2 linked regions of the Rhinolophus ferrumequinum genome follow. The protein of the gene in region 2 purifies or fractionates together with the protein of the main gene of each other region. This does not show direct contact. Links are inferred from orthologs where the notes say so. Each region holds a gene or a part of one and is shown on either strand. Other genes may lie near its edges.

Region 1 (11,332 bases), on a different chromosome or scaffold from region 2:
GTGGAATATATACGACATGTTTGGAAAACGACTTCATAACCATTAAGTGTTGTAGCTTTTCCCTGGAGCACAGGAGAACCCAAGCAAGAGTGCTTTTGAAATCCAAACTGATGTACAGCATAACAATTTAAGTCAAGGGAACTCCCTTTAAAACCAATACAAAATCCTCATAAATCATCATTGCTCAGTTATGTAACCTTGAGTCAATTCTTTACTCTGGACCTCAGTTTCCTCATTAGAATGTTCATAGTATCTACCTCCAGGAGCACTGGATCAGTTAATAATATACGTAGAATAATTTTAAATATTGCCTGAATAACCACCCAGTAAGTGCCATTACATTATCCACCCATTGTTCTCTTCTGTATCTTCTTTATCTTAGAAATTAATCCAATAAAAATCAAAACATACAAAGGTTCTGAACAAATAAAAATGTATCAAACTATGTAGCAGTAAAAGGCAGAGTTGATAACCACAAGTATACAGACTATTACCTTCAGTGGCAATCCCAATAATGTGACCTAGTGGTCTACTGTCAATGTACTAAACAATTTAAAAGGATGAATAACAACAGCAACTCACCTTCTAACTCCTACTCTGCACAAGGAAAGAACATATTCAAATGAAATCAGTATGAATGGGACTTAACATCACCATTGTTAACAGGTTCCTTCATGTAAAGAATGTTATATATGCCAAATAGGTACTAAAATATTTACTCAAAGAATCAACTAAGAACACAAGTAATTACAGATTTGATTAGACTTGAAGGATCTCAATAGATGATTAGTGTTCTAAATTGATCAGGATTCATTCCCTCTAATTCTACCTTTCATTAATATTCCAAAGTCACAACCAAGCAAACAAAGAACAAAATAAGCAAAATAGCATTTTGACATTGTTAAACAGAATACCACAAGTCCAAAATGGCATCACTCATGCTAAAAGCCCATGATACCAACCTAGATTTAATATCTGATCTAACTGCAGTTTTAACTCTCCCAGAAACATAATCTATCAGGAATTTTCTAGTCAACACCAATGAGGTAATTTGTCACATGGACCCTCTGCCCCCACCCCATAGAAAGAGGCAACTGCATGATAAAAACACCCCTGCAGAAAACAATCCTTTCTTTTCTTTTGTTAATAGCAATCCTGCCCTACTCTTCTTACTATAAAAACCTTTCATTGGCTACAAACCCTCAAAGGGCCTTTCTGGTTGCTGGATGGGAAGTTGTCCATCACTTAAAAAAGCCAATTACATCTTCAAATTTACTCAATTTTGTTTAACATCTTCAGTACCTTGAAGCTGAACAGATTCTGCCTCTTTTAGCCCCCTTTCCTACAAAAGACTGTATATTTAACAAATTTTGGGATGTTTAGAATCAAATCAGTCAAGTGGATACTATGGGCAAGTCAAGTAAATAATGAAACAAGCAACAGCATTTTGGATTAAATTAGTTCTGGTGCAAATGGTTATTTTTTCATTTTGTTTTTTCAGTCTCTAGAGGACAAAGACAGTCAAACACCACATTTAGTATTAGCTTAATAACGTTCTCTGTTAATAGACCCAACATCAAAAATAGATACTTTGCAACACATAAAATTTATCGATTTTCAAACAGGTATAGTGAATTTTTAAAAACTATTTACAAAATCAACGTAACATTGACCTGAAAAGACAATGAAGTCAAGCTTTTTATATTACATGTCCAAACAGACCTACCAATGTTTAATTTCACCTACCCTCTATCTTTCTTAAAAAGTGAATCGCACATTTTAGATTTGGCGCATTTGAACTCGGACAACTTTGAACAAGCATTTGAGACTTAGTACTCCCAGATCACTGTAAACCTCTTTTACCTCCTATCAATTTTAAATAAGTTAATCTACATACAACAGGTTTTCAATTATCATGGTTTCATTCAATGTCAAAGTTGATTAGATACTCTGACAACTTAACCCTTGTTGATAACCATTAGCCTTTCCTAACACTGGTTTCCTTATACATCGTTTCGCTTAAAGTCAAAGAACCTATCCATGACATTGAGGATTTACAGTATAAAGTTTTCCCCTTATTCAAAGATAATGTGGGGCAGGCCCGGTGGCTCAGGCGGTTAGAGCTCCATGCTCCTAACTCCGACAGCTGCCGGTTCGATTCCCACATGGGCCAGTGGGCTCTCAACCACAAGGTTGCCAGTTCAATTCCTCGAGTCCCACAAGGGATGGTGGGCAGCGCCCGCTGCAACTAAGATTGAACACGGCACCTTGAGCTGAGCTGCCGCTGAGCTCCCGGATGGCTCCGTTGGAGCGCGTCTTCTCAACCACAAGGTTGCCAGTTCGACTCCCGCAAGGGATGGTGGACTGTGCCACCTGCCACTAGAAATAAATGGCAACTGGACCTGGAGCTGAGCTGCACCCTCCACAACTAAGAATGAAAGGGCAACACCTTGAAGCTGAACAGCACCCTACACAAGTAAGATTGAAAGGACAACTTGACTTGGGAAAAAAAAAAAAGGCCTGAAGTACACTGTCCCCAATAGTCTGTTCCCCTTCCCCAATAAAAATCCTTAAAAAAAAAAAGAGAATGTATATTATTTCCTAAGTAAAATAAATGTAGAAGTAGTATTAATTCAAGTTGACAAGAAAATAAGACCTAAATACTAATTTGAAACGCTATTTTGATGCTAAATTCAAAAATGGCAAATTTCGTTTTAAAGCTCAGCTCTCCACAAACCAGGCAAGCGGTGTTTTCATTACAAAAGTAACTAATCAGACAGTGATGGTCTAAAATACGGGTTCCTTGAGGACATCCTGCACTCAGTTCATTTTTTGTACTGAAACCCTAGCATTCCCAGATAGGACTCCCTTTCCCACCCCCCTTCACTGCCTTCTTTCTTAAGGAAAAAGTGGGGTCACTGATAAGGCAGCAGGTTACAAACTTGGATCAATAAGTTTACATTAACTATTCATTCCATTCCCTAGTTTCTCCACCATACCCCACTCATCTTAAAAGAGCGAGTATCTCATTCTGGGAACTACAATAAAGGAACAAATTTATAAGAAAATATTAGTCCTTGAAAAATTAAAGACATTGCAGACTAAATCCTCTAGCATTGCCATCTTAGAACCATTTAGAGGATTACACTGATTAGGATCAATTCTCCCCGAATAAAAAAGCCTGGTAGAGACACCCATCCAAATTCTAACTGGGCTTGAGCTACACAAAAAATCTTTTGTTAAGAACAACTAACATTAGCATTAATTCTTTTAAACATCTAGCACTGATGGCCCTGCTTCATTATCCATCACCTAACATTCGTACTTTCCTCCAGAACCAATAAAAAGGTGAAGACCAAAGAGAAGCAGGGATGAGTCTGAAACCCAGGGGCTGAACCTATGGGCTCACTATTCCTTTTCACATCCCACCGTCTCTACAACTTTCAGTAAGGACAACAGACACAGGGGTCGCCAACCTGTCCTAGGCGGCGGCCACGTGTCGAAGGAAGCCGCCGGGGTTTCCCCGCCCAGCACGGTCGCCGCCTCCAATGGGCGGAGAGCCCCAGAGCCTCGCAGCCTCCCCGCCCCCTCCCTGCCTCGGGGCCTCGTCCCTTCACAGCCCCTCCCTCCCATCGGAATTCGCAGCCTCCACCTTTCTTTCCATTCCCCAGCGGCCTCTCTCCGGGTACTAGTTTTGAGAAAGCTGGGACAGCGAGGCGGCAGGAAACTAGGCACTCGCGCCCGGCCCGCACCCCGGGAGCCTCCCGGCCCCTAGCGGCGCGGCCGTCGCCTCTTCGGGGCGCCTTGGGCGACGCCGCGGCCTCGCCCCCGTCCGCGCGTAGAGGCCGGTGGAGCTCAGGGCACCTCGGCGCAGACTGGCACGGCCCCCGACCCTCCCGGGCCGACCAACCCCCCGCATCTTCTTAGCCCGTTCCCGGAAAATGCGCCGGCCGATCCCAGCGGCCTCGCAGGCTACGGGGTCGAAACTCCGCGGACGGCTCCGGCTCTGACCTCTTAGGACGAGCCGAGAGGCCCGGAGCGGCCAGCAGCCGCTGCTCTCGGTTCCGTCCCCCATCCCCCCGTCCCTCCCCTCCGCGCCGGCCAGCCGGCCGACATTACGTTCCTCCTTCCCTTTCAGGCCCCCATCCGTTACCGGTGGCCAGCACGGGGAACCAGGCGGCCGGAGCTGCGCAGACAGTGACTCAGGGAAGCGGCGGGAGGAGCAGGAGGCGGCGCCGCGAGCAGATGGCGCTAAAAAAGACCCGAGAGCCCGCTGCTCGCGCTCATATACAATTAGCGTCAGCACGTAGGGCCCGCTCAGCCGCCCTCCCCCGGCCTCGCCGTCTCCTAGCAACGTGAGCGGGAGGCGGGCCTAGGGCGGGTTGCATAGCAACAGAACTGTCCTTCTTCCCTGGCGACCTCCAACCCTCTGCGCCTTGCTTAGGTTCCTTGGGTTCCTGCCGCCGCCCCCTACTACGTACCCGCCAACTCTTCCCCCACCTCACCTTGAAAGGAAATCTCAACCCCTCCCGCTCTGGGAAGGGCCCTGACCCGGGCGCCTGGACCGGTCCACCTCGCCCGCCTAAGTGTGGTGCAGGGAGGGATGAAGGTTGGGGCCAGCCGCCCCGTGTGGGCTTGCCGCATCCTTAGGGCGAGTGCTCTTTAGTTTCCGTCCTCTTCCCAACCTAATTCCTGCAACTCCCCTTCCTCGTAACCATTTTCTCTCCCTGCCCACTTTTTCCCTTTGGCGGAGTCTTCTACCGGTTTTGCTTCTCCTCACTCAGTGGACCTCCATGGCTTCCTGGGGTGCTCCTCATTCTTACTCCAACATCCTTTTACTTGACGTGCGATCCCTCATTTCCGCTTTAGTTCTTTTGACGGATGTTTTATGGCATGTTTGTGTATTCTCCGGATCCTTTATAATGAGGACAGTCGTTTCATATTCCTGAAAAAGGAAACCCTATGTAAATCCTCAGGACTGTGAAATTGCTTGGCTAGTTTTCAACTGATGCAGGATTGACCAATATCCACTTTAATAATGACTAATATTAAAATAGTGGTTCTCAAAGTGTGGTCCGAGGATTCTCGGACTCTTTCACAGGTGAAAGTCAAAAGTATTTCCTAATATTTACTAAAGCGTCATTTGCCTTTTGCACGCTCATTCTCTCACAGTGCAGTTTTCCAGAGGCTACATGACATGTGATATGGAAACATGGAAAACAGAAGCAACTATTAGGATCCAGCCATCTGCTGTTAAACCAGAGAGAGATTTGCAAAAATATAAAACAATGCCATTCTAACTTTTTGTGTTTTAAAAAATAGTTACTTTGGTCAAACCATGGTCTTGGCGCCAATTCAATGACAACAGGAACCCCCAATTTGTGGTAAACTACATATAGCTCAATCCTAATACAGCATAGCTATAGAGCTGTTTAATTATGTACGAAATAGCAGGACTGTGAGGCTGCCTGAGCAGAGTCCCCTCTCTAATAGATAGCTCTGTTCTCCTCTGCTTCTCCCAGGTCCACAAGCCTCTTCAGTATTTCAGGTCCAGCCAGCGAAGCACAATCTTTAATGGAAAGGAAAAGTGCTCTCTCTGAGCCACTGGGGAGCTGACTTATACAGAGAGAGGTACCCACTCCTGGTCCCCGATTGGACCATCTTCATGCAAATGAGGACTTCAGATCCTCACAGTTTGATTGGTCCAAAAAGCACTGTCCTCTTTGGTTAAAAGGGAGCAGCTCTGATTGGTCAGTGACATACATTCGCTTATAGAGTTGTACAGCTTTGATTGGATGGGGAAAGTCTCAATCCTATTGGTTGAAATGGGATTCCAGAAACTCCTTTAAAAGGGTTGATATTTATCATATGCTATGAGGCAGGCGGGAGGCAAACGGCTTAATGTGGGAGCGAGGCAGCTTAGTACAGGGTTTTTCTTGAAGCATATGAGAGAAATATTTAGAAAATGGTTGCGAAACTCTGGTTTTAAATTTGAGCCCTTCTTAGTGGGTATCTTCTGTTTTGGGGTCAACGTTTCTCGTATAAAATATTCTTTATGTTAACATTTAATTGGCTTATTGTTTTTAAATAAGATAATGAATAACAACTCTTAAAATCTACTCTTAAAACTTCTTAATTTTAATTCTAATATGACAAATATCAGTAATGCACATAAAAGTTCTTTGTAATCCTCAGTTTTTTAAAACTGTAAAGGGGTCCTGAGACCAAAAAATTTGAGAACCTCTTCTCTAAATGTTTCGTCCCTTGAAACTTCAAACTGCCTGGAGTCATCTTTTGTAATCCTCACTCCCATATCTCATTGAAATGCATTGCCTTTCCCACTCCATGCGACAGGTGCTCAGTTTATCCATTCATTTTTGTTCTTCATGTGTGATTCTTTTGTATTTCTCAACCTTATTTCTTCATGTACGTCATACTTGACAATGATGTAAGGCTAACAAGGATTATAATAACATCAGTGATGATTCCTCATGAAGAATCCACAAAACATAAACTAGGTAGGCCAGTGTCCAATATGTACATACACTTGGCACTAATTTCAGTGGAGGCCTCAAGAGCGCTCTGCATTTTATTCAAAGCTATACATAATGCAAGATAATCAACATATTAAAAATGAACTAAATAGCTTTCTCCTTTCCATAAACCTTTTCAGTGGTAGAACTAATGAGACTGAATTGAGAAGTTAGCTTTCATGATGGTTTCTGTCCCACTCCAGGGACCCCCACAAATTTCAGGCACTGACCAAAGTCTCCAAATTTCTGACGTTTCAACCCCCACTCCCATATTTAAGGGCTTATCATTACCAGTTTATATACATTATTTCCCCCTTTTCTACAGCACCCTTCTCCAGCTCTTTCCTCCAGCTTCCTCCTCCCTTTCTTTTAAGGTGTCCTAGCTAACCTAAAAGTGAAATACTAATAAAGTGCTAATAATGCATATCTTTTAATGTGATCTTTTCAATCATAGTTTGTAAGTCTAAACCTTGGCTACTTAAGTCCAGGGAAGGCCAATCATTTATACATTCATTCAACAAATAGTTATATGTTGGAAACAACTTGAGACACTGGAAATACAGTATTGAACAAGATAGACAAGGTTCTTGATTTTATTGAACTTACGTTCCAGTGAGGTGGGGCAAGTGACAAACGAGAAATGAAATAATTGTAGATATTAGTAAGTGAAAGTGCTATGAAGAAAATAAAATGAGACAAAGGGGTAGAAGATGACTGACCTAAAGAAACCATTGAGATTTGCACGTTGACCCCTCAAGTCACACAATATAGCTAACTCATCTAATTACTATAAATTGTGGCCCTGGTCACTGACCTTGGACCATGCTAAACTTCCGGTTAAACTTCCTTTTTGCTTCATCTCCCATTATTTTCAGTTGGTAGATTTTTATAGCATTGTAAAAGCCTGGTGGTTTAGAAGTGTGGCTCTTTGGGAGTCAAACAGCCCAAGTTTTGTCCCTATTTTGTTGTGAAATTTTAAGCAATGTGTAAATTGCTTAGCATGGTACCTGACATTTAGTAAACACGCAACAAAAGTTAAACATCATAAACCTCTTACATCGTAAACTTTTGTTTTTGTTTTAATTAATGGTTGGAGAAACTTCCCGTAAGTCTTCTAATAGTATCTAACACATTTTTGTGAAATATTTTATCAAAAGCTATCTTGTCACAAATTTTGAAACATGTTTTCCTGAGCTGAAATGATCCACACTGATTATCACAAAAGTACAATATCCCATATTTCTAAGTACTGAATACAGACACTGTAGAGATCAACCAGATAAGACAGTGACAGAGATGATATTTTAAGTGTGCCTGTGTCTGTATTTCAGCCCCTAAGTAGTAGGAAATACATAGGCTTGAAAGTCAGACAGGCGTAGATTCAACCAAATCTCTGACCTCCCACATGTATCTGTACACTCTGACCCTTAGGTTTTCCCCATCTGTAAAGTGCTTTAATAATTCTTTTTTTTTTTTTCCTTTTTAACAGGATCAATTTACTTTATTTTTCTTGTATAAATTATGTGGCGGCCACAGCTGGAGCCTGGGTTCTCTACACAGAATCTCTGGTGTGGGTCTTTACAAGATGGTCCGTGAAGGGAGACTTGATGAACACAGTCTCTGTCCAGAGGTCAGGGGTGAAAGAGCTGCAGGTCTTTGACTTATCAAAGGTGGCCTTGGAGAAGTTGCCCAGCATGGTAGTGCAGCCCCTGGCTGAGGTAGAACAGTTGACAATATGAGCCATCATCAACAGCTTCTTGGGCACAGGAGCTGAGAGATGCCAGTGCCTCTGGGGGCAGGGATGAGGTGCACAGCACAGAGCCACAGCTGCAGGTCACCTTACAAAGGACAGTGTGGGGCTTGCCCATCTTGTTCCCCGGTAGACTCGCTGCACAGAAACAACGGAGAGCTTGGCCAGGATGATGGCCCCACGGATGACAGGGGCTACCTCCTTGGAGCACTTAACACCCAAACCCACATGTCCTTTGTAGTCCCGGATGGCGGACAAATGCCTTGAACTGGGGCCTCTGGTGTGCACAGGTCTGCTTTTGCACCGGCATTATCTTCAAAACCTCGTTCTTGAGGGACGTCCCCAGGAAAAAAAAATCAATGACTTCAGATTCCTTGATGGGCAGGGAGAGCTGGACAGAGACTTGATCTCCAGGTCCTTCACCAGGCGGCCCAGCTTGGTGATGACGATCCACTCCTGGTCCTCAGCCTTGCCTTTGCAAGCTCACCCACATCCCGCACGACCTTGGCCAGGGACCCCGCTGCCAAATCGTCCAGGGCCCCTCCCCCACCACACCCCAGGCTCCTGGGCCCTCCTGGTGCACCGGTGTCATCTGTCATTTGGTGTTTTCTCAGAGAAGTAATAGTTCTTCTAATAACACCTGCCTCTTCATTAGCATGAAACAGAGAAATATATGTGAGCCCTCAGATCATTGACCTGCACTTGAAGTACACAATAAATGTTTATTTTTTCCCTTCTCAATTAATCAGTATGTAAAATGTCTAATGGCACCAATAATAATCTAAAACTGTACAAGTCACATTTAAATAACTGTTTTCTTAGTTTTGAATCTGGTTGGTTTTAATTTTTTTCCAATTGTTAATATAAATGCAATATAAAATCAATCTAAATTCCAGTGGAGAATTGTGGACAAGTTGCCTTAAATTCTTCCCTCTACATCTGAAAGGAAAAGGGAGGAGGAATTAATAGAAAATATTTTTATTTTGCTATCATTTCAATTGAAACTTTTATTGAAATGATTGTAAAGCCATACGCAATTGCACAGAACAACACACAGAGATCGTGTAAACTTTACCCAGTTTACGACAATGGTACAAACAATCCATAATCTTATTGAGACTTCCCCAGTTTCACTTGGATCCACTTAAGTGGGCCTGTATATTTAGTTCTTCTGCACAATGTTATCGCATGCGTAGTTTGTGTGTCACCACAAGCGAGATACAGAACAGTTCTATCAACACCACAAGGATCCCTGAAGTTGCCCTTTTATGATGATTGGGGTTTGTTTTCCTAATTTACATGCCAAATATAGGCCTACCTTCCCAGATTTACTTTTTCCCTTTGTTTCTCACAAATAGACCACTTAGGCAGAAAATAGGCGATTCCTTAGTGTGCGTTTTCAATATTTCTTACCTGAACTGTGTGCAATAGCCTTGCCATTAATTTCCCTAATATCTTATTCCTCTCTGGTCTACATTGCCAAAGCTATGGTTCTAAAATACAAGTCTAATCAAATCCACTTTGTCATAAAACGTTCAATGGCACTTTATGTCTACATAACAAAATAAGGCCTCCAAAGCCCAGTCCAATCGGAAGGCATCCTACTTTTCTAGCATACTCCCCACTATCCATACTCATGAACCCCATACTTTATGACTTTGAACTACTCACCAGACTCTCCTCATGCCAAGCGTTTTTATGCTTTCTGTGCTTCCCTTCTACTTGTCCTTCAACTTCTAGTTCAAATTTTTATCTTCTCTGGGGAACCTTTCCTAACTCACAAAAGCATATCTGGCTGCACACGCTTGTCTATTCTTTTTTGTATGTATGTTTGTTCCCATGTTTCCTTCTCCTTCAACACACACTATCCTAGATTGTTAGCTGCTACAGGGCAGTGTCCTTGTTTTTGTATACCCCCGGCTTGGACAGTGACCGGCAAGGCAAAGCCTTCAATAAATAATTGTTTGAGAGAACGAAATAAAAGGAAGAAAGCAAGAGAGGGAGAAAGAGAAAGAGAAGTCATAATGCTTAAAAATAAATCAGACGTCATCATGCTTTATTAAATAATCCTTTGTTGAAGACAACTGTATCAATTCTATATTTATCATAGAGTCTATGTTTCATAGAGAAATGTTTCCATAGAGAAAATTTCACAATCTACTCTATGCAAGATAGTATTTGGATATGGTTTGGATATTATTTGGATATTATTATTTTTCCTCATCTATGAAACAACTTGCTGATAAAAAGAAAGGAAAGAAATATTAAAATCCTTGAGATCGTAATGACTGGAGACAATAAATCACATGATAGTGTTTGGAGACAATTGGAGGGTCTGTTATTGGGAGAATTGATAGTGAAATGCAGTGGATGTATACCAAAAAGTACTATGCAGCAGAAACATTGATTGTAATACACAACAGGGATGATCTACAAAATGCAGTGCTTGCAACATATCACCACAATTAGATATCATTATACACTCATTTGAATTGCTCAAATTAAAACAAACAAACAAAAATCCTGACGGTACGAAATGCTGATAAAGATGTAGAATGACAGGAACTCTCATTCATTGCTGGTATGAAAGCAAAATGGTACAGTCATTTGGAAGATAGTTTGGCAATATCTTATAAAGTTAAATATAGTACCTTACCATACGACCCAGGTATCTCACTCCTGGGTATTTACCCAAATGAACTGAAAACTTATACACACACACACACACACACACACACACACACACACACACCTGGAGGTGAATATTTCTAATTGCCAAAAACCAGAAGCAACGAAGATGTCTTTCCACAGGTGAATAGATAAACAGTGGAAAAATGGAATACTGCTCATAAATAAAAAGGAACAAACTACCAATTCACTCAACACAGATTAATCTCAAATACATTTTTGCTAAGTGAAAAAAGCCAGTTTCAAAAAGATATATATTATATAATTCTATTTATATGTCGTATGAAAAAGGCAAAAATATAGTAATGGAAAACATATCAGTGGTTGCCAGGGGTTCTGGAGGAGTGAAGAGTTGACTACA
Region 2 (9,220 bases):
GCTGTTACCATTAAACTGAGAACTGAAAGATGAGAAGTTAACCATTTAGAGAATGTTTCAGGAAGAGGGAACAATGCTCATGGTCCTTAGCATCTCTTCACAGCGAGGAAATCTCAACACAAGGCTTCAAAAGCTGGATGAGCTGCAGGAGTTCAGCGCCATCATTTTGGCTGCAGCTGGCCTGCAGCGCATGGGCTGGCAGAACCGGGTGGGGCAGGTAGGGGCTGCCCCTATTCCCTCCCCAGTTAATCTTTATCCCCTTCCTGCCTATGTGCTCTTCTTGAACACCCCGCCTCTAGTCTTTGGAAAACACTACAATCAAAATGAGTCCCAGGCTGGAAGACTGGGGATCAGAGGCCATCTTTTGCTTATCGAGGCTTTCTATATGATAGGGAAGCCCCATCTCACTGCTGTTCTTTTAGGTACTCTCATCTCTACCCTTCTGCCTATTCTGCCCCCACAGATCCTGCACCCTGAGGAATGCATGTATGCTGTGGGTCAGGTATGCTTGACCAGGAAGACGTGTTTATATACCCCTTTGTTCTCAACCAAGATGGTCACGCAACTGTCTGAGTCTGCATCTGCTTCCCCAGCATAAACGTTCCTAGGGAGGGGCAGGTCTTGGGAGGCTACTGTACCAAAAGGCCTTGGGGAGCAGGTGGAGTTGGGCTGGTTCCCATCCGTAGCTCCATTGGTTGGGGAAAGATTGGACTTGATGTCTTAGGCTGTTTTTCCACCAGGGAGCTCTGGGCGTGGAAGTCCGAGCCAAGGACAAGGACATCTTGGATCTGGTGGGTGTGTTGCATGATCCTGAGACTCTGCTTTGCTGCATTGCTGAACGGGCCTTCCTGAGGCACCTGGTAGGGCCTGTATTTCACCTGTGGAAGGGTGGGGAGTTGGGAATAGTGGGGAGATTTCTAAAATTCATGTTCTGAAATTAGTGGCAATTCATTCTTGAATATTGTGTATAGAGGACCCAAGTCTGGGTCCTTAGCCTCCTTTTCAGTCATGTCCTCATAGGCCTATGGATCCCTGAGGGCTCTCGTCACAGGGTAGTGTTAAGGGTCTTTGGAGCTCACCGGGAGAACTTCTCATTGCAGGAAGGAGGCTGCAGTGTGCCAGTAGCAGTGCATACAGCTATGAAGGATGGGCAAGTAAGCAGGGAACATGGGTGGGAGGGCAGGGAAGAAAGGACTATTGCATTTCTCCCTGTGCATCCTTGAGTTGCTAGCAAGAGCCCAGGTTTCTAAGCAGTTCCCTTTCAGAATATGCTAAGGCAAACCGTTTTCGTTCCCAGCTGTACCTGACTGGAGGAGTCTGGAGTCTGGATGGCTCAGATAGTATGCAAGAGACCATGCAGGCCACCATCAGAGTCCCTGTCCAGGTGCCAAGGCTGGAAAGTGAGGGAGGGTTAAGAAACAAGTCTGCCTTGAGACCTCTCCTTTTGTGCTCACCAAATCTTATGTTATCTCACCCAGCATGAAGATGGCCCCGAAGATGATCCACAGCTGGTGGGCATCACTGCCCAGAACATTCCACGAGTAGCTCAGCTAGCTGCTGAGAACCTGGGCATCAGCCTGGCCAACTTGTTGCTGAACAAAGGAGCCAAGAACATCCTGGACGTTGCCCGGCAGCTTAATGATGCCCACTAACTGGTTTGTGAGGCACAGGTGCCTGAGTTACTGCTCTCCAGTGCCTACAACCCAGCCCTCAGTGCCCCATTCTCACTAACTGGGGAATGATTACCCCAGGGGATTGAACTGCAGGGTCAGAGACTTGGAGGGACTGCCTTGCCTCATTAGGTAGGGGCTTCATCTCTTTAGAAAGATTCCAAGCCTTTGAATGTAACCAACTCTATTAATAAACCAGTTCTGAAGGTGGTTTTTTGTTTTTGTTGGGGTTGCAGGAAAGATAAGGACAAACACAACAGTTTACTCCTTATTTTCAAGGCTGGGACCTCTGTCCATAGTTCTGGAACACTCCTTTTTTCTGCCTCAATAGTTCTCATTTCAAACAGAATAAATGGTCTTCCAGAGAACACCAAAAGTGAACCTATAGCTTGCATCTCTCCAGTTAACCAGAGCCTTGTTACCAGGTAGCACACTCCCAACCCTACCCCCCTCAAGAGTCTACAGTCATCAGACCTTTGGCAAACACTTTGGGGCAAAATGAAAGTGACTCATTTTTTAAAACCAATCCTTTAATAAACAAAATTAGCCCATCTTAAAACTCCCCAATACCTAAGGTACTAGTGTTGGGTGGGTTGGTTCAATTCCAGTTCAGTTCAGGAGCCTCGGGCCCAGACCGGGGTTACTGTATTGTGCTGTTGGACTGGCGGGAGCAAAGCGGAGGATTAGCGAGGCCCGGCTGCCCCTCAGCGTCTGGGTTACACACAAGCCCTGCAGTCCACACAGCCCGTTCGGAAGCCCGGCAGGAGGCCTCGGCCCTCCCCCAGCCTCTCCCCGCAAGGCGCTCTTCTCTGGGGAAAGTGTGCACATTACGTCTGTCGTGGCCGCAACGCACAGGCCTAGTGAAGATGGAGGAAGCGGATTGGAAAAGCCCGGGATCTGGCAGGAAAGGGGGCGCCCTAACGAATTTAAGGATCAATGTTTCCCCCACCAGAGCCTGCAAGTCAACAGCCATGTCTGAGGTGGCGGCCCAAGCACCGAGCTGGAGCAGACGAGCGAGTAGTGCTGAGAGGCTCCGCCGGCGACTCACCTTCCGGGCGGCTCACCTCAGCCCTACGTCATAGGAGTAGGCCCGGCCTCCCAGAAAGTGCCGCGGCCTCACCGCTGGCCGTCAGCGACTCCGAGGGCAGGGTGGCTGAGTCACAGCGCCGGACACTCCCCGGGCCGAGCCGTCGCTCAACAGCCGCTCCCAGTCAGAGAACCCGAGCGGGCACCTGCGAGCCCGCGCGGGGTGGGGGGCAGCCAGCGGCAGCCGACCGCCGTGGCTCAGCTCTTTCCTTGAGGGTTGTGGTGGCCCTTAAAAGGGCCTTTGTGGTGGCACAGGGAGGGCCGGGAGGCCGGCGACGGCGCGGGCGCCCCTCAGTACTCCTGAGAGGCCTGAGTGGCCTTTTTGCCTCCCGCTGGCGCCTTCGGCCCCACGGAGGCGCTGGTTTTCTTGGGCAGCAGCACGGCCTGGATGTTAGGCAGGACGCCTCCCTGGGCAATCGTCACGCCACCCAGCAGCTTGTTGAGCTCCTCATCGTTGCGGATGGCCAGCTGCAGGTGGCGGGGGATGATGCGCGTCTTCTTGTTGTCGCGGGCCGCGTTGCCCGCCAGCTCTAGGATCTCTGCGGTGAGGTACTCGAGCACAGCCGCCAAGTACACCGGCGCGCCAGCTCCCACTCGCTCAGCATAGTGGCCCTTCCGCAGCAGCCGGTGTACGCGGCCCACGGGGAACTGGAGGCCAGCGCGCGACGAACGCGACTTGGCCTTGGCGCGGGCCTTGCCGCCGGTCTTGCCGCGGCCCGACATGTCGCTAGAGGTAGAGAAGTGATGAGGAAGAGCGCTTCGTAAACCACGGCACAGCCACCCACTGCAGTCTAACTGCTGGCGCGCACGGCCGGAAACCGCCCTTATAAGCCACCAGGGCACACCTCCGCGCCCTCCTGATTGGCTTCTTTCTCTAAAGCAGCCTCTGGTTGGTTGCAGTTAACCCTCCGGTGACGCGCCTCGGCTAAGGGAGCGCGCCAGCCGATTGGTCGAATTTGAAAACCGTTTGCCCGGGGAACGACGAGGAGGAGTGGTGGCCTTCAGCCAGCCAACTACTCCCTCACGTAGCCAATCCATGTGAAGCGCGCGAGATTTAAATCCTACACCCGCCGACCAAATCTTTAAAAGACAGTAGGTGGAAAAAGAAGCAAGCTGAAGCGCCTGTGGGAAATAGTGTGGGACTTGGGATTTTTAAAGGAAAGGGGTCAACGCTACAGCTACCTCTATCTTCCTTTCCGTGTGTGGTCACACCCTACTTTCTCCTCCTTTCTGGCCAAGGGAGAATGAAAAAGGGAAGAAATGAGACCCCCTGAAAGTTCAATCCCCTATCAGAGAACAGGTAACTCCAATCTTATGACCCTCCATGTCACTTGAAGTATCAGGATTTCAATATTTATTCAATATGTTCTGTCTGGTTGCAATATGTTCTTTCTGCTCACTTGCTAAAAGGGGCCTGGTGTACTGAAAGAAAAAGGATGGGGCAGAGAGACAGGCATCCTCTTGGAGGAGGTGCCTCCACCAACCCTCCCAATGTACTCTAAAATGCCCATATAGGAAACAGAGCTACAGGAACAAGAAAAAGACAACACTTTATTGTCACCACTGGGAGCACCTGCGCCCCCCAACCCTGTCTGCTTTTACTAATTAGAATACTTATAGTGAAATGTCATCTTTGAGCCTGTGTCCCTATCACCAGCCAAGGTTATATTATCCCCAGGCCCAACATAGTCCTTGACAGTCAGAGTTGTAGAAAACTGCATAACAAATGCAGCATCCCACCTTAGGGGGCTACAAAGACTGGATGGATAGGGAGAGTGGCAAGTTGAAGAAACCATTGGCAAAGTCCAATCAATAGTCACTAGAGGGCAAGAAAGGCCCAATTTGTCAATAATCACGGGGGAAACAAAATTCTAAGGAGAATGAAGGGTGGGAGAGGCCCGAGCCAAGAGGCAGTCTTGGTCTAGAATGAGGTCATCCTGAGTCAGGAACCCTGGAGACTGTGAAGTAAAAGGCAATGATCTGGAGACTCAGACATCATAGAAGAGTCGGACAAGCTGGTACCGAATAGAGAATGTGACAGCACTTCCCAGGATCTGCAAGGAAAAATGGACTAGAGTAAGAACCATGGAGAAAAGGAGACAAGGAGGAGTAAACCCTATGCCAAACCGCACCTGTAGCAGCAGCAGGAGCAGTGTGAGGTTTCTCTCGTGCATGGGCCCAAAAACCTTAAGTAGCAAGTTGATGAGGGTCATGTTGTTACACTCGGTGAAGGGACCATCCTCATTCTCACTCTGGCGCACTGTCACTAGCTGGAGGCTTCCTGCTACCTGGAAGGGCCGGAAGTGATGAGTACATCAGCTAATACCTATGCTTCAGGAATGGGGATCTGCTTAATGCTTCCAAACTCCCCTTGGATCTGATGCAGGCCTAGGTTCCCCGTTCCCTGAATTTAGGATGGTGGCCTAAAGCCTTACCTCCTTATTCCCGTTACCTTTAGAATAAAGGTGCCCAAGAAAGAGAGGCTCTTGGTCTTGAACTTGGAATAGCTCATCTCCAGTTTGCCTGTGTTGGTATTGAGTCTGCAGGGGCAAGAGAGTTTTATGTGACTGGGCCACTACTTAATGAACTCTCTTCAGTGTGGTTATTTAATAGGAAGAAGAATGAAATATGGAGTCAAACAACTCGAGATCTATTTCTGGCTCTGCTGCTTACTATTGTGTGATCAGAATTGCTGTGAACATTAAATGAGATTATGTAAGTGAATGTGCTCTGTAATTTATAAAGGGCTAACCACAGGGAAACAGCCCTTTTTGGGGTCCTCCCTTTGCACAGCAAATGTATAAGGCTGGCTTTATGAATCTCAAGTGAAAAAGCTATAATGTCCCTTTCAAACCCCAAAGCAGCTACCTGGGCACACGGTGGCGAGGGCAGGGGATGATATGCAGGAGTTGAGGCAGTGAGTAGAGGAAGTTGAACACCTGGGGCATGAAGAAGAGTAGCATGGTCTTGCTGAAGTGTCCCAAGATGCCCACCACGGCAAAGGTCATGCCAGCAAAGTAACAGAAGGTATCTCCCACAAACACCCGTGATGGGTACCTGTGTGGGAGAGAGGATCTGAGCCAGTGGCAAGAGGCATTACCAAATCTTTCACATAACACACCCTGGGCACTCGGCTAGCCCTGACCCTAGTTCTGGCTCAGAGGAGACTCCAATCAGCTCTCCCAGCAATTCTCTGGAACCCAGGGTCCTGAATTCATCTATTCTTAGGGAACCACAGCACTTGTCACCAACCACTGCTGAGTAGACAGAAATTTAAGAATACTACCAACTGAAGACCCAGAAAACACAACCTGGGTATGCACAGATTTAGCCTCTCCATCAGGAGATGGGTCATGATCAGGACCATACTTGCCACATGTTCAAATAGTTGTCCCCCTATCCACAGGCCTACTTACCAGTTATGGTAGAGCAATCCCAAGGTGGTGAAAAAAAAGGGTATCATGAAGTAGAGGGAAAAGACATGATCATCCCGACAATCACCTTTGGAAGCGGGGGAAAAAGAAAGAAGGAAAAACTGATAGCCACTTCCTCTGTATACCCTGATCCTATTTTTGTCTGCCTCTAAGTTATGTCCCAATCTGTATTGTCCACCTCTCCCAAGTCACATTCAAGAACTCACAACCCCTTTTATGTCACCCAGGTAATTCTCAACGTTGTACCTCTTTCATGAACCCTTTCTAAACTAGTTATTGTCTTAAACTGGTTTAGATTGTTCAGACCTAAGTTTGAACACGAGCTTTACTGCCAGTGTGACCTTGATCAAGACACATTACTTCTCTAAGCTTCAATTTCATCTGTAAAATTCTGTAAAATACAGTTGATAACACCTGCTACACAGAACTGTTACAAAGTTTAAATGAGATGTCTGAAAAGAACTTAGCTTTTTTTTTTTTTTAATTTTTATTGGGCAATATTGGGGAACAGTGTGTTTTTCCAGGACCCATCAGCTCCAAGTCAAATTGTTGTTTTCAATCTAGTTGTGGAAGGCACAGCTCACTGGCCCATGTGGGACTCGAACCAGCGACCTTGGTATTATGAGCACTGCGCTCTTAACCAACAGAGCCAACCGGCCTCCGTGAAAAAGCACTTAGCTTTAATAAACACTTATTGATGTCCAAAACCACTAGAAACACACCTGTAATCAAAGCTGGGTTTGATTTTAACAAGGGAAACTAGAAACCACATACCATGTAGAACCATGGGATGCCTCATAATGATATGTTACGAGGACTTTTATAGGATTTGTTTTAAGTAATTCTGAGGAGGCTATAAGGAGGCAGAGTTTTGCCCCTGGACTGGATGCTGTCAACAGGAGTAATTCTATATTAAGCATCTTAATTTTTATTTAAGTTGGAAGAACTGAGTTGTTAGAAGGAAGGAGCAATCATTCATGTTAGCCAGAAGAGGGGGATCTTGGTCATTTTTGTGGGGTGCTCTGTGTTCTTGTGGTTTTGTTTATGCTCAGACATAGTTATGGAGAGGTCTGGTTTTCATCTTACTGTATCATGGTCACAGAGGTTGGGAGTTCTGTGAAATTGTTTATGTTTGATAGGAGAAGATCATGGCCTACATATTAATGCCAATCTAGCTATAAATGACAGGGCTGCTGTTTTTCTCACATTTAATAAATCTTATTTGTTATTTGCAAAGTTAATACCTTTACACATCTTCTATAGTTATTAACATATTGCTTTTTTTCTGAATTTCCCAAAGCCAGATATCAAGCAATTCGCTTAACACTCAGACTTCTCTCTCTCCCTACCCTCAATCCCACCTACCTTCCAGCTCTACCAGGTTGAAGATGATGATGGAAGCAGAAATGACTAGTGACTGGCCAGCCTCTAGGCCATTAATTCCTGCTAGGATATTGATGGCATTGGTACAGAACACTGCCAGCAGCCCCATGTAGACATAGTACAGGATCCCTGAGGAGAGAAGACAGTAAGGAAAGAAGTAAGGCCACCCACAGAATGAGGATTTAAGGATATTCTTTTGAGAAAAGTATTGAGGACAGAGGGCCAACAGAAAAGATCTGAGAAGACACAGGGACAAAACGGGGACATGGAGGAGAATACAGAGAGCCAGGAAGGATGCTTTGCTGGATATCTCAAGGTGTACTGGTACCCTGAAGTAGGGAACATAGAGGCAGTAGTGACAGGGCTACTCACCCAAATCCAAATGCAGGCCAAGAATCGGACGGAAGGGCTTGGGTACCACAATGGTCGTGTTGCCGAAGTTGGTGAAATAGACCATAAGGAGTGGTAGTGAGGCAGCTGTGGGCAGCAGCAGTTTATGGCGCCAGCGTAGATTCAGTACATCATCCGCGAAGCCCAGGAAAATCATGCAGCAGATGGCAAGGAGCGCACCTATCAGGGCCACAAACTGGGGGAGGCTCCGGCAAGTCATGGCTCAAGCCTAAGCCCACTTCACCATTCCTTTCCAGAATTTCTGTCTTTTCATTCCTCCCTCAGCCCCTCCACCCAAACCCAAATAACCCTCTCTTTCAGGCAACTACCAATCCCCAGACATAGGCAACCGCCCCCAGTAACCCACTTACTTCATGGTGGGGGAAGGCTTTACATTGCTCCTCCACAAAGCAGTTCAGGAAAGGGAAAGGGATGAAGCAGAAGAGGATGATTAGGAAAACAGCACCGCTGATAACTCCCTGGGACTCTGGGCTGTGGCCCAGCAGCAAGTGGGGCGAAGGGGAAAGAGGAAAGGGGGACGTGGTCACGCACTAGTGCAAGCATTATAGTAATCTAATCTTAGGTTGCTGAAGTCCCTGATACACCCGAGAGTTCCCCCTCTCCCGCCCACCCCTTCTCAAAGGCTAACCAGTTCTGCTCTTCACCTCCCAAGGGACTGTCTGCAGGATTGGCGCTGCATCTCCGCGTGCAGTCAAGCACCCCAGTCCTAGCCCCAGCCCTTGTCCCCTGCCCGGGATCCGTGTGCCACCGCTCACATCTGCTGCCGGCCGGATTTGTTGAGGTCCTGACCACAGAGGTGCGCGGCGATGAAGTGGCCACGGAATGCAGGGATGAGGATGAGTGTGGCCACAAATCCCAGCAGAGAACCGATCAAATTCACCAGCAGCGGCATCGACAACTCCGGGAAGGCCCACATGGTGACCGGCCAGGAGGCCCCCTCCGCCTCCTCAGCTAACGCCTAAGGAGGGCAGAAACCCTGAGCCCGCCGCAGTAAAGAGTGGCCGCTCCACACACCAGCCTGAGCAAAACCCAACAACTCTTGACTAAAGCTGCCCTCCCGACTCCGGCAAGCCTCTACAGAGAAATCTCGGCCCCGCCCCACTGCATTTACCTACCCGCGTCTCCGCCTGGATCTTGTACGCAGAGCAACTATCGTTGTAGAAAGCGGTGACGGCCATTTTTAATATGGGCAGAAGCGTGGGGACAGAAGTGTTTTTTTAAACTACATCTTTCATT

The links. The genes of interacting proteins can lie anywhere in the genome.
Region 1: the proteins of histone H2AX (region 2) and NAP1L1 purify together in Homo sapiens (affinity purification with mass spectrometry; 3 studies listed by BioGRID and IntAct, counting the BioPlex papers as one, with this or other methods). This does not show direct contact. The link is inferred for Rhinolophus ferrumequinum from reciprocal best matches to the Homo sapiens genes H2AX and NAP1L1.

The regions. Positions count from the first base shown.
Region 1 is NC_046293.1:70,493,821-70,505,152, forward strand, and holds the start of NAP1L1 (nucleosome assembly protein 1-like 1), read right to left. Parts: upstream 4,308-11,332; 5' UTR 4,154-4,307; intron 1-4,153. UniProt on the Homo sapiens protein: Histone chaperone that plays a role in the nuclear import of H2A-H2B and nucleosome assembly.
Region 2 is NC_046294.1:88,352,545-88,361,764, forward strand, and holds histone H2AX, read right to left. Parts: upstream 3,571-9,220; 5' UTR 3,480-3,570; coding exon 3,048-3,479; 3' UTR 2,328-3,047; downstream 1-2,327. Other genes in the region: HMBS (porphobilinogen deaminase), read left to right, coding at 104-217, 464-502, 741-860, 1,101-1,154, 1,298-1,384, 1,479-1,652; DPAGT1 (UDP-N-acetylglucosamine--dolichyl-phosphate N-acetylglucosaminephosphotransferase), read right to left, coding at 4,745-4,810, 4,889-5,044, 5,209-5,296, 5,625-5,813, 6,173-6,257, 7,556-7,702, 7,946-8,159, 8,335-8,455 and 2 more. UniProt on the Homo sapiens protein: Variant histone H2A which replaces conventional H2A in a subset of nucleosomes. Nucleosomes wrap and compact DNA into chromatin, limiting DNA accessibility to the cellular machineries which require DNA as a template.